Callithrix jacchus: one gene and its partners. The protein of the gene in region 2 interacts with the protein of the main gene of each other region in a pairwise test. Links are inferred from orthologs where the notes say so. Each region holds a gene or a part of one and is shown on either strand. Other genes may lie near its edges. The genes, in order: CEP76, SALL2 and ZMIZ2.

Region 1 (3,380 bases), on a different chromosome or scaffold from region 2:
CCTTTTGGGGTTCCTTATTCCACTCTCTACCGTGGGTGTTTTCTGTGTTCTTTGAGGCTGTCAAAGGCAAACTGATTTATCAAACATGTTCTCTGGGTTCCCAGTTACTCTTAGCTTTGGCCTCTAATATATTCCTTATTCAGGCTAGGCACGGTGGCTAATGCCTGTAATCCCAGCACTTTGGGAGGCTGAGGTGGGCAATTCACCTGAGGTTGGGAGTTTGAGACCAGCCTGACCAACATGGAGAAACCCTGTCTCTACTAAAAAATATAAAATTAGCTGGGCATGGTGGCACATGCCTGTAATTTCAGCTACTCGGCAGGCTGAGGCAGGAGAATTGCTTGACCCCAGGAATTGGAGGTGCGGTGAGCCAAGATCATGCCATTGTACTCCAGCCTGGCCAAGAAGAGCAAAACTTCGTCTTAAAAAAATGTGTGTGTGTGTGTGTACATATTCCTTATTTGCTTGTCAACTCATCAAAGCATTTAAATGTATATTTTGGAAAATCTGGAGTTTGTAGTGTGTTTTTAAGCAAGAGTTGATCAGGAGACCTCTGGTCCATTATATTGCTGGAGATGAAAGCCCCTTATTACTTTCTCTTTCCTTCCATCACTTGTATTACCTTTAGCTTTCTTTTCTTAGGTTCTGCTTATAAATAAAAGCAATATTTTATTTTATAATAATTACTTTTGGCCAGGCACAGTATCTCACACCTGTAATCCCAGCAGTTTGGGAGCCTGAGATGGTTGGATCACTTGAGCTCAGGAGTTCAAGACCAGCCTGGGTGAGAATCCATCTCTACAAAAAAATACAAAAATTTAGCCGGGCATCGTGTCACATGCCTATAGTCCCAGCTACTTGGATGCTAAGGTGAAAGGATCAGTTTAACTGGGGAGGCAGAAGTTGTAGTAAGCTGAGATGATACCACTGCACTCTAGTCTGGGTGACAGGGTAAGACCCTGTCTCAAAAAAAAAAGGAATTACTGTTTATAGAAAAAGAAAATAAAGCTGTGATAGATGCCAGTGTTGATCACTACTTAAGGGTGCCTATAAATCAGCAAAGGTTCACATTTTGCCACGGGAAAAGCATTGTTAATCATGGACCTTTGAGATCATTTGTGACAAGTTACCTTGAATGTAAAATAAGGAAATGCCAAACATCTATTATGATAATCAAAATATCTAGAATTTGGAGAATTTTTTATATTTGTAACAATATTATTTTTAACTTCTTGTGTCTAGATAGCAATAGGTCATTTGGTGTTATAAATGGAATCATGGGCTGGGCTCAGTGGCTCACACCTGTAAATCCTAGCACTTTGGGAGGCCAAGGTGGGTGGAACACTTGAGGTCAGAAGTTTGACATCAGCCTGGCCAACACGGTGAAACCCTGTCTTTACTAAAAATACAAAAATTGGTTGGGCTTGCTGGCGGGTACCTGTAATCCTAGCAACTCCTGAGGGTGAGGCAGGAGAATCGCTTGAACCTGGGAGGCAGAAGTTGCAGTGAGCCAAGATCGCACCACTGCACTCCAGCCTGGGCAACAGAGTAAGACTCTGTCTCAAAAAATTAAAAAAAAAAAAAATGGAATCATGTTGTTTTTAACATTCTATAGAAATATGTTTTAAGCCCCCTAGGGGCCTATAACATGTCTTCATCTTTTTATCTCTTACACTAAGTTTTATAGAGTACATGTTCAGTAAATATTTGTTTAATTACATATAGGATTCATTTGCTGACTTTGCTCCCCTCTGCAGTTGAGTTTATGGTAGGAACAGTCAGTCTTTAGTAAACAGATTCAATCTTAATAAACTCTTTAAGTAAAATATCTCAAAATTCACTAACACTCCATATTAGGACTGTTTCATACAGTATTTTCTAGTAGATATTAAAGAAGTACAGGATTTGGAGCCTTCATGAAACATCACTGTTTCGAATGTTTGGTTTTTCTGAGAAGTAAAATCTGATCACCTATAGTTTCTTTTATCTGACTTTTATTTCTATGCATCTTTGTAATTATGAAAATATTATGATAGCTTTTAAAAATCTTTTCTTGGTATACATTAAAATAATCAACATTTTTATTTAGCTGGTTTTAAAAATATTAATGTATTTCATTTTTTCTTTTTCTCTTGATTGCTTATAGGACCTTGGTCTCACTACTGTTTGGGAAGACCAGCTGTCCTATCTTCTTTCACCAGCTTTGGCTTCTTATGAATTTGAGCGTACAACAAGTATATCAGCAGGCAATGAAGAATTTCAAGATGCCATAAGAAGGGCTGTACCTGATGGTCATACATTTAAAGGGTTCCCAATACATTTTGTGTATAGAAATGCAAGACGTGCATTTGCCACATGTCTTCGGTAAGATGTAATTTGTGGAATCAGGTTTTCAGTTTAGGAATCTTAGAGATCAGTCTGATAGGGGTTTTTTATTTCCTTTTTTTTTTTCAAAGTCAAGGTCTCACTGTGCTGTCCACACTGGAGTACAGTGGCACATTTATGGTTCACTGCAGCCTTGACTTCCCGGGCCCGTGAAAGGCCTTCCACCTCACCCTCCCAAGCAACTGGGGCCACAGGCATGCACCATCATACTTGGCTATTTTTTTTCTTTATTTTGTAGAGATGGGGGTCTTCCTGTGTTGCCCAGGCTGGTATTGAAATTCCTGGGCTCAAGCAGTCTTCCCACTTTGTCCTCCTAAAGTGCTGGGATTACAGGTATGAGCCATTGTACCTGGCCTAATCTGGTAGTTATTTAGGAATGACATCAGAGTCACATGGGATCTTTTACAATGACTTACCCTCCTTGCCACAGATTTTGATTCATTAGGTCTGAAATGTAGCCCTAGATAGTCTGGGATTATTTTCTCAGTGATTTTGGTACAGTCTCAGTCAGGTATCTCTGATTTTGTTTGGACAATATGGAAATAGTCTATGATTTGAATAGCTTGACCAAAATTACAGTGTCTTTGATAGCATTGACAGAATTTGAAAAAATTATTTTATTTATTATTCATTTTTGAGATGGAGTCTCAGTCTGTTGCCTAGGCTGGAGTACAGTGGCACAATCTTGGCTCATCACAACCTCCGCCTCCCGGGTTCAAGAGATTCTTCTGTCTCAGCCTCCCAAGTAGCTGGGATTACAGGTGCCTGCCACCACACCTGGCTAATTTTTGTAATTTTTAGTAGAGACGGGTTTCACCATGTTGGCCAAGCTTGTCTTGAACTCCTGACCTCAGATGATCCACCTGCCTCAGCCTTCCAAAATTCTGGGATTACAGGCATGAACCACCTTCCCTAGCCTGAAAAAATTATTTTAAATATTGATTTACTTGGAAATAAAAAAGTGAGGTGCATGGTCACTTCTTAATTGAATATAT
Region 2 (4,422 bases):
CTTTCCTGTTTCTATGGGGATGGCTTTGTCGCAGCATTACCATGCCCCCAAGTGGGAGCTGTATCTTAAAGGGCTTGAAAATCCATTCAGGACAGCTGTTAAAAATAGCTTCTGACTCCCTAACAGAATATTTTTCCTCAGCTCTGGTATGGGGAATGGGTGAGCAGATGGGAGAAGTAGGAAGAAGAGGAGAGGGTGCTTCTTGGGGGCTTGGAGGGGTGTTCAGCAAACTTCCACAGTCAAACCAGCAGGGGAGCAGAACTGTGAGGCAGCTCTGGAAAAGAGTTGAGGCTCTAGGGGAAGTCTCCTGTAGAGCACAAGTAAGAAACATCCGGCCTATAGCAGCATTAAGAAGGGTTAATGTGTCTCAGGAGGGAAGGATGCCATCACCACAGAACCTCTAAATATGGGCACAGTAGGATCCCAGAAAAGCAGTGATTTGGGGAGGATGTGTTCTGCCCAAAACATAGTATGTCTGTTAAGGTTATTTCATAGCACCTGGAGCACTGATTTGACCTCAGGCTTTTGTTTTTTTTGCTAACATGTGGAAAGGCAAGTTTAATCTAGAATTAATTTTAACTACCACCAATACACTACCTTAGAGCTTTTCATGGCACATTTCTCATAAAGAAATGCTGACATTTGCCAAGAGGTTCCTGAGTTTCGGTCATATTACAGCACTTGCAGGAAGTACCACTGCATTCACAAATGATAACAATATTTACACATATTAAACACCATGCATGCTAGGTGCTTTACTACACATATTAAGCACCTTTTTATGCTAGGTATTTTTCCAAGAGTTTTACACATATTAACTCATTTAGATTTTCACAACAACCTAATGAGGTAGCTAGTATACACATCTCTGCTTTACTTCAGATAAGGAAACTGAAGCATAGAGAGGCAAAATAAGCTAGCCATGGTCACACAGCTAACCAAGTGGTGGAGCTGGGATTTGTCTGAAAGTCTGGTTTCAGAATGCTTGTGCTTAATTCTATCCTATATTGTTGGGTGTATCAACTGTATGCTAAAGAGTTGCCTCTCGAGCCAGGACTTTCAGTGTGCACATATGGAGCCATACGACTGACAAGTATGTCCAAAACTTCTTTGATCCTAAAAATTACTTGGACACTTGCAAAATATAGAGATTCCCACATCCTAGCTCAGATATACTCAGTCAAGCAAGTTTTTCAAACCCTGGTTTAGTGGAGTGAGCACCACCAGCCTTGAGCATTACGAAATTTAAGTTTTCGCCCTGATTTTGCCTCTGTCTCTCACACTCTGGACAATTTTACTCTTCAATTCCCTGCCTGCTCTACTGTCTGCCTGTCACTTAATGGAATGTTATAAGAATACATTCAGGGGCCGGGCGTGATGGCTCATGCCTGTAATCTCAGCACTTTCAGAGGCTGAGGTGGGCAGATCACCTGAGGTCAGGAGTTCGAGACCAGTCTGGCCAACATGGTGAAACCCCACATCTACTAAAAATACAAAAATTAGCCGGGAATGGTGGTGGGTGCCTGTAATCCCAGCTACTCAGGAGGAGAATCACTTGAGCCTGGGAGGTGGAGGTTGCAGTGAGCCGAGATCATGCCATTGCATTCCAGCCTGGGAAACAAGAGTGAAACTCTGTCTTAAAAAAAAAAAAAAAAAAAAAAATCACCCAGGCAATTTTTTTCCCCCTAAGGGACACCTGTTGCTTCAAAAACATGATATTCTCATAAAATGATATGCATGTAGTAACAGGTGTGTTCCCTTGCACTTTTTTTTTTTTTTTGCTTTGCCTTCCTTTAAGCACAAACTAAGACCCTCATCCAGACCCATCCTTCAGCTCTCCTCCAGGTGACACCATACACACCCCAAACCAGGCTGCATTCTGACCGACATTAGCTCTCTCCCTCTGGGAGCTCCGATCGGCTCTCAGTTCAGCCCAACAATGAGAAACTTTTCTTTCGTCTCCCTCAGGGGAGCCTTCACGTTTGTCCAATTCATTCTCTTGCAACCCAACTCTCCAGAAAGAAAAGGGGGGAAAATCCCACCCCTAAGAGACGGTCTTCAGGTCTGAGGACGTTACTTAGCAACGGCACAAAGACCAGTGTGCAAAGGGAGACCTGAGGAGAAAACTCTTGGGTGGGGAGACAGAGCCAGTTTGAAAACTCCATTTCATCCAGAGAAAAACAAGGAAAACACAAACAGAATCAATCCCGAGTAACAAGCGGGGCTTCTCCCCAGCGCAGGTCATCTTTTTACTCCCTGCATCTCAACTCCTTCAAACCCCCAGAGACCAAGTCCGCCCCCGCCTGGTTTCGCCCATGGCCCGAGTGCCCTCCCCTTGCCCTGGCCTGACCTACACAGGCTTGGACTCAGGGGCCCCCCACCCCTTCCCAGGCACCCACCGTTCTCAGACGCGCTGGGACCTTCGCAGTCCGAGATTAACTGTTGGGGTTTCCGCTGCTTTCGCCGAGACATTCCCGGGTAGAGAGAGTTGGGAGAGGGAGGGGCACGCTCACTTAGTCTTAACCGGGGCGACCTGGTCTCGTCTCCCCTTTGGGTCCGAAGCCAATTGATGCCTCTCCCCCAGTGCAAATCACTGTGAAGCAGAGATGTTCTCCTTTCCCAGAGACAGACAGACACACACACACTCTCTCTCTCTCTCTCTCTCTCTCTCTCTCTCTCTCTCTCTCTCTCTCTCTCTCCTCTGATTCTCTGTTCTTGACTCTCTCTCTTTCTCTCTCAATCTTTGCAAGTCTTTAAAGGGGAGACGCCCCCTTTTTTTCTTCAGCTTCTTCCCTACGCTTCTGCAGCTCCCATTGTAAAAGCAAAAATCCTAATCTTTCCGCACACTCTTTTCTTTTGTACTGCAGAGGAAAGGATTTAACCCTCTCCTCCCTGCAAGGGCCCTGGGCCTCTCCCTATGTTGTCTGTTCAGAGACTGTCCTTGGCTTGTTTTTCTAACTCTTCTCCAAGATCTGCACCGTGCTTTTTGGTTCTGTCATATTTCTATGCCCTTCTGTTTGATAATGTGGCTGCTTCTGGGGTATAAACTGAAATAACTTTCTGATGTATCCCAATTATGAGTAATATATGTATAGCTCTTTATAATTTATAGAATATTTTCATTTGTGATGTGTTTTGAATATTACAACTCTGAGATAAGCACAGTAGGCTTTACTACTATTTATAGCTGATCCCCTTTAAGATGAATCAAAAAGCCCAGTGAAGTTAAGTAACCTCTCCAAAGGTGCACAGCTATGATGTATCAGACACAGGCCTGGAATCCAGATGCATCTGACAGTAGTCTAACATTGTTTCCTCTATAGCAGAAAAGACACAATATGCTCCCCAACTGCTATCATGAAAAAAAGTGATTGATCTCAAGGAATCTCATTTAAAATAGCTAGGACTGGGCTGGGTGCGGTGGCTCACGCCTGTAATCCCAGAACTTTGGGAGGCCGAGGCAGGTGGATCATGATGTCAAGAGATCGAGACCATCCTGGTCAACAGGGTGAAACCCCGTCTCTACTAAAAATACAAATAATTAGCTGGGCATGGTGGTATGTGCCTGTAGTCCCAGCTACTAGGGAGGCTGAGGCAGGAGAATTGCTCAAACCCAGGAGGCAGAGGTTGCGGTGAGCCTAGATCATGCCATTGCACTCCAGCCTTGGTAACAAGAGTGAAACTTCGTCTTAAAAAAAAAAAAAAAGCCAGGACCAGGCTCAATGGCTCATGCATGCAATCCCAGCACTTTGGGAGGCCAAGGCAGGCAAATCATAAGGTCAAGAGATGGAGACCATTCTGGCCAACATGGTCAAAGTCTGTCTTTGCTAAAAATAGAAAAATTAGACTGGGCATGGTGGCTCCCACCTGTAATCCCGGGACTTTGGGAGGCCGAGGCGGGTGGATCACCTGAGGTCAGGAGTTCAAGACCAGCCTGGCTAACATTGTATAAAACCCCGTCTCAACTAAAAAAAAAAAAAAAAAAAAAAACAACCTGGGCATGGTGGTGAGCTCCTATAATCCCAGCTGCTTCGGGAGGCTGAGGAAGGAGGATTACTTGAACCCAGGAGGTGGAGGTTGCAGTGAGCCAAGATGGAGCCACTGCACTCCAGCCTGGGCAACAGAATGAGACTCCGTCTCAAAAATAAATAAATAAAATAAAATACCCAGAAGGCCAGGGCCTTTCTCTCTCTCCCAATCCTCTGCAGTTCTCAGGGTTGAAGGGATGCCTCTGCGAATATGACTTAGATGAGTCCTGTAGTACCTCAGGCTGCATGCTAAAAGGAGGAATTTTCAGCTCACTATAATGGAGCTTTCTAATAGTGTGATGGACTCCTAGTGAATTTTTGAGCTCTCTGTAATGTGCTCACACAGACGCTGAAGATAATTGTTAAGAATTTTGTGTAAAGAATTGCCTTGTAG
Region 3 (4,435 bases), on a different chromosome or scaffold from region 2:
TAGAAAGGAGTGGGCACCAGGTGGCCTCTCACAGGGGCACAGGGCAGGAGTTGTTGAAGCAGGAGGTAACAGAGATGCGTGTGAGATGTTTGGTGTGGCCACTTCCAGCATCCTCCACGAACCTGCCTGCAACCAACCCCCCCCAAGAAATGTAGCCTCTTCCGAGACAGAGGAATGGTCAGGGTCTCCTCTTACCTGTCAGCCCCCATATTCAGGTCTTTTCTTCAGGGCCAGCTCCCCAGAGAATTCATCCCCATACCTCATCACTCCCTCCCCATTCTCTGGTCCTGCTTTAGTTTTCTTCCTAACGCTCTTCCTGAGGGACACATTGTTACCTGTTAACTCATTTCCTTCTGTTTGTCCCCTCGAACATGCTTGATGTAAGGATGGAAGGGTCTTACTGTCCTGGTCCCTGGGGCAGACCAGTGTTCACAGATCCCAGACCAGTGACTGCTGTGCAGCAGGCCTACCATATTTGTTCGATGGACGAATGATTCCCAAAAGAAACAGAGCACAGAGTTCAGAGGCGGCCTTGGGCAAAAAATTTCTACAATGTCAAAAATTAATTGTGGAGTATCCATCAATGGATGAATGGGTAAGCTAAATGTGGAATATACGTACAATGGAATATTACTATTTGGCCATAAGAAAGAAGGAAATTTGGCTGGGCACCGTGGCTCATGCCTTTACTCCCAGCACTTTGGGAGGCCGAGGCGGGCGGATCATGAGGTCAAGAGATCGAGACCATCCTGGCCAACATGGTGAAACCACGTCTCTACTAAAAAAATAAATAAATAAATACAAAAATTAGCCGGGCGTGGTGGCCCGCGCCTGTAGTCCCAGCTACTTGGGAGGCTGAGGCAGGAGAATTGCTTGAACCCGGGAGGCGGAGGTTGCAGTGAATCGAGATTGTGCCACTGCACTCCAGCCTGGCACCTGGCGACTGAGCGAGACCCCGTCTCAAACAAACAAACAAAAAATTAATTATGGGTAGTAGAGAGAATGTGGTCTTCCTTTTGTTTTTTTGCTTCGTTTTGTTTTTCCAAGTACTTGCTATGAGAATGTGGTCTTCCTAAACTTACCGTAGGAAAAGTTAAAAATAACTTAAAGGCTGACAATAGCATTTCAAAGGTCGCAACTGATCAGAGAGGCTATTTCATCAGGCCAGACTAGCTGAATAGTGACTTTTTCCAAGAGGAGAACCGCTGGAGAGAGAACTGAGCAGTGAGGAAAGCGAACTTGTTCGGTTAAGTTTGATTTTCTGCTTTAACGAGAGGCTTCCCGAGTCCCTTAAGATCCCCTCCCACAAGAGGCACTCCAGGTCTCTCCGCCTACCTGTCTTGTCCCCGCCCTCCGGGCCACAGCAATGGACTCCCAAGAGGCAGAGGCGGCGCGGGCGAGGCGGGTGGGGGAAGGGCCAGGACTCACTCTTCCTTTTCCCCTCGGCCGGGGCCCGCCCCAGCCCTGGCCCCGCCCCGGCCCTCTGGCTCCGCCTCCTCCTCACGACCCCGCCCCGGTACATTGGCCCCACCACCCACTCGGCCCCTCCCCGGGGTCCTGGCCCCGCCTCCGCCACCCGGCCCCGCCCCGCTCCCGGCGGACTGAGAGCAGGAAGCGCGCGGTGTCTCCGCCGACGCCGCGTTCGGAAAGGTGTGGAGGGGGCTGGGGGCGCAGGTCGTGGTCAGGCTGCGTCTCCTACCCGCCCAGCCACCTGCGGCCCTGGCCCCACCCCGCCGCTTTGGGCCGCTCAGGCTCGCGGCCGCCCCCGCTCCGAGCGCTGGCTCGGGGCTCCGCTGCTCTGGCCTGGGAGGCGGGGCCGGCTGCGCGGCGTCATGCATATGCATGAGCGGCGCGGCGGCGGCTCCATTGTGCCCTCGGAGCGGGCGGCGGCGCGATGGCGCGGGTGGCGGCGGCCCCGGGGCGGCAGGCGGCGCGGAGGGCGGGCTGAGCGCATGGAGCGGCGCGGGCCGGGGGCCGCCACGGCGAGGGGCCAGGCCAGGCCGGGCGGAGGTGAGCGGGGCCCTGGGGGTGGCCCCTGGCAACGCCGCCCGCGTGCAGGTGCGGGCCGGCGGGGGCGGGCAGGTGCGGCAGGTGCGGGCCGGCAGGTGCGGGCGGGCAGGTGTAGCCGGTACCCCGGGGTGCCCCGGTCCCGCTGCGGCGCCACCGTAGGGTACCCAGCCGGGCTGGGGCTGGAGGCTCTGCCGCCCACCTGCCGGCACCTGCCACGCGTGCGTCGTGGTCTTGGTCAGGCGCGGCCCCGTGGGCGTCAGGGTCGTCCAGCCCTCCCCTGAGTCTTTGTTGGAGGCTGGCCGAGGGATGTAAGCGGCGCTTGAGGTTGTCCTGAGCGGTGAAGGCTGGCCGGGCCTTCACTCAAACATGATCGTTCATGGCTCGGGCCAGGCAGTCTCACCTTCATGATACGCCCCTCCGCTTCCACTTACGTGCCCACCAGCAGGGCGATGTGGGGGCCCTCCGAGGCAGTCACCAGCCCGAGGAGGAGCTGTTCCGCTCCTGAGCTGAATAACGCTGACCTGCCAGCCCCCAGCTGGCAGTTTTGATGGGGACACCCCTTTCCAAACTGGACATACTGAAGCTCAGGTGTGAGGATGCCCTCCTCCCCTGAGGTACCTTGTCTTCCCTAGCGCCCTATTCCCGGCAGGTGTCCTTCACCGCGACCCCCCTACACACACCCGGTGCCTTATTTACCCCTCCACCTACCCTGTCTTTTCCCCCATTCCCTGGACCCTCTAGCCTGCAGTGCTCTGCTTCCCCTTCTCCCTAGGGTACCCTCTTTCCAGTATTACAGGACATCCATGGTGGTCTTTAATTTGTGTCATCACAGATTTCACAGGGACACACACAGAACATGTGACTTGGTCTGAGACCGTGGTGATTACAGATAGGATGGACACAGCATCACCACCAAGTTCTGGCAAGCTAGAACCAGAGGGCATCCCTGGATGCTTAGTGTGGAAACAGAAGTGAAGGAATCTTAACTTCCGGGGGTACTGACCTCTAGCCCTTGTCACACCTAGGGGGTAGTTACAAGCTGCAAGTGTAAATGAGAACAAGCAGGTGACAGTTGCCAGTTTAGATTTCTGAAGGACAGGCCTAAGATGTTTGCGGAGCATCCTGATGATTGGGATTGAGCTCCCAAGGGCTGATGACATGAAGGTGGTCATGTGTCCTCAGGCCTTGGATGCCAGCAGATACCCATCGTACACATGGTAAACTGATGCCAGGTTAAGGTTGTTCCTTCAGCTGTTCACTGAAATGTCTCATGCCTGGGCCATTGCTCGTTCCTGGACTTTTTGATTAACTCTGCATCTTGACTTAGCCCCACGCTGAGGCAGTTTAGTATTGTGGCCTTACAGATAGAGGGGTAGGACTTCCAGGTACCTGTACATGTGAGCACCCTACCTTTTGCTACCAAGGACCCTGCTCCTGCCCCATTTCTTCAAGACCCTTTGACTCCACTGTCACTTAGGTTGGATCCAGAACCTGACCCTGCAACTTTGGAGACAGTGAGTCCCGATTTGTGACCTATTGAGAAGGGTTGGCCTGCCACAGGGTCTACTCGCTGGTCCTGCTCCTAGCTTACTAGGCAGGCAGAGAGGTGGCATGGAACAAGGCTTAGGAGGTTCACTAGGAGACTTAGGGGTGCAGTTGCTCTGGGACACTTGGGAAAGAAAGGTTTGGGTAGTGAGTCCTGTAGCTCCATGTTTAGAGGAAGGTGTGATCTGACCCCCAGAAAGCCTTGTGGCCTTCTAGACTGACCTCGTCCATCTGTCAAGGGGTCCTAGCTTCAAGCTGGAGTTAGTGTACAAGGAAAGCCCCAGGTGATAAGCCCCTCTGTGGGCATGGGCCTTGCATGATCTGGGATCCAGGTTCCAGGCTCCAGGCTTGTTCCCAGCCCAGACTCAGAGCCAGGGGATAGGAGGAAGATCTGCACACACACAACACAGAATGCTTCCCTATGGTCAGGAGCAGAGGGTCAACGATACCAGACCTGGAGACAGGGAGTCTTCCCAGGGAGACTGTCCTCAGAGAGGAGACCAGAGGTATGAGTTCGGGTCGGCAGGAAATCCCCCTGTGTAGTGAAGAATAAGCTCAGAGGGAACTGGAAATCTTTGTGGTCTCTGTCCACACCAGAGAAGCATCAAGGGTGGAATTCCCCAAGCCGATGTGACATAGGAGCCTGCTGTGGGCTCCTCCCCTCCCTGTACCTGGCCTGTGCCCCTTCTCCCCAGCTCTCTGCATTTCCTGGAACTGAGGCTCTCAAGCTAGTCCCTGGACCAGCAGCAGCACTAGCTGTAAATTGTTAGAAATTTTGGACTTAGGCCCCAGCCCATCCTACTGCTTTTAGGTGGAGCTGGGCAGCCTCTCATCACCAGCTGCAAACTGGCTTTGACATGCTGCCATTGGGGAACTGCTA

The links.
Region 1: the proteins of SALL2 (region 2) and CEP76 interact in binary tests that used the Homo sapiens proteins (3 or more experiments, as listed by UniProt). The two-hybrid records come from large-scale screens. The link is inferred for Callithrix jacchus from reciprocal best matches to the Homo sapiens genes SALL2 and CEP76.
Region 3: the proteins of SALL2 (region 2) and ZMIZ2 interact in binary tests that used the Homo sapiens proteins (3 or more experiments, as listed by UniProt). The two-hybrid records come from large-scale screens. The link is inferred for Callithrix jacchus from reciprocal best matches to the Homo sapiens genes SALL2 and ZMIZ2.

What each region holds. Positions count from the first base shown.
Region 1 is NC_133514.1:49,822,663-49,826,042, forward strand, and holds part of CEP76 (centrosomal protein of 76 kDa), read left to right. Parts: intron 1-2,146; coding exon 2,147-2,364; intron 2,365-3,380. UniProt on the Homo sapiens protein: Centrosomal protein involved in regulation of centriole duplication. Required to limit centriole duplication to once per cell cycle by preventing centriole reduplication.
Region 2 is NC_133509.1:56,041,242-56,045,663, forward strand, and holds the start of SALL2 (sal-like protein 2), read right to left. Parts: upstream 2,833-4,422; 5' UTR 2,473-2,832; coding exon 2,400-2,472; intron 1-2,399. UniProt on the Homo sapiens protein: Probable transcription factor that plays a role in eye development before, during, and after optic fissure closure.
Region 3 is NC_133512.1:12,827,886-12,832,320, forward strand, and holds the start of ZMIZ2 (zinc finger MIZ domain-containing protein 2), read left to right. Parts: upstream 1-1,578; 5' UTR 1,579-1,650; intron 1,651-1,856; exon of another isoform or gene 1,857-2,010; intron 2,011-4,435. UniProt on the Homo sapiens protein: Increases ligand-dependent transcriptional activity of AR and other nuclear hormone receptors.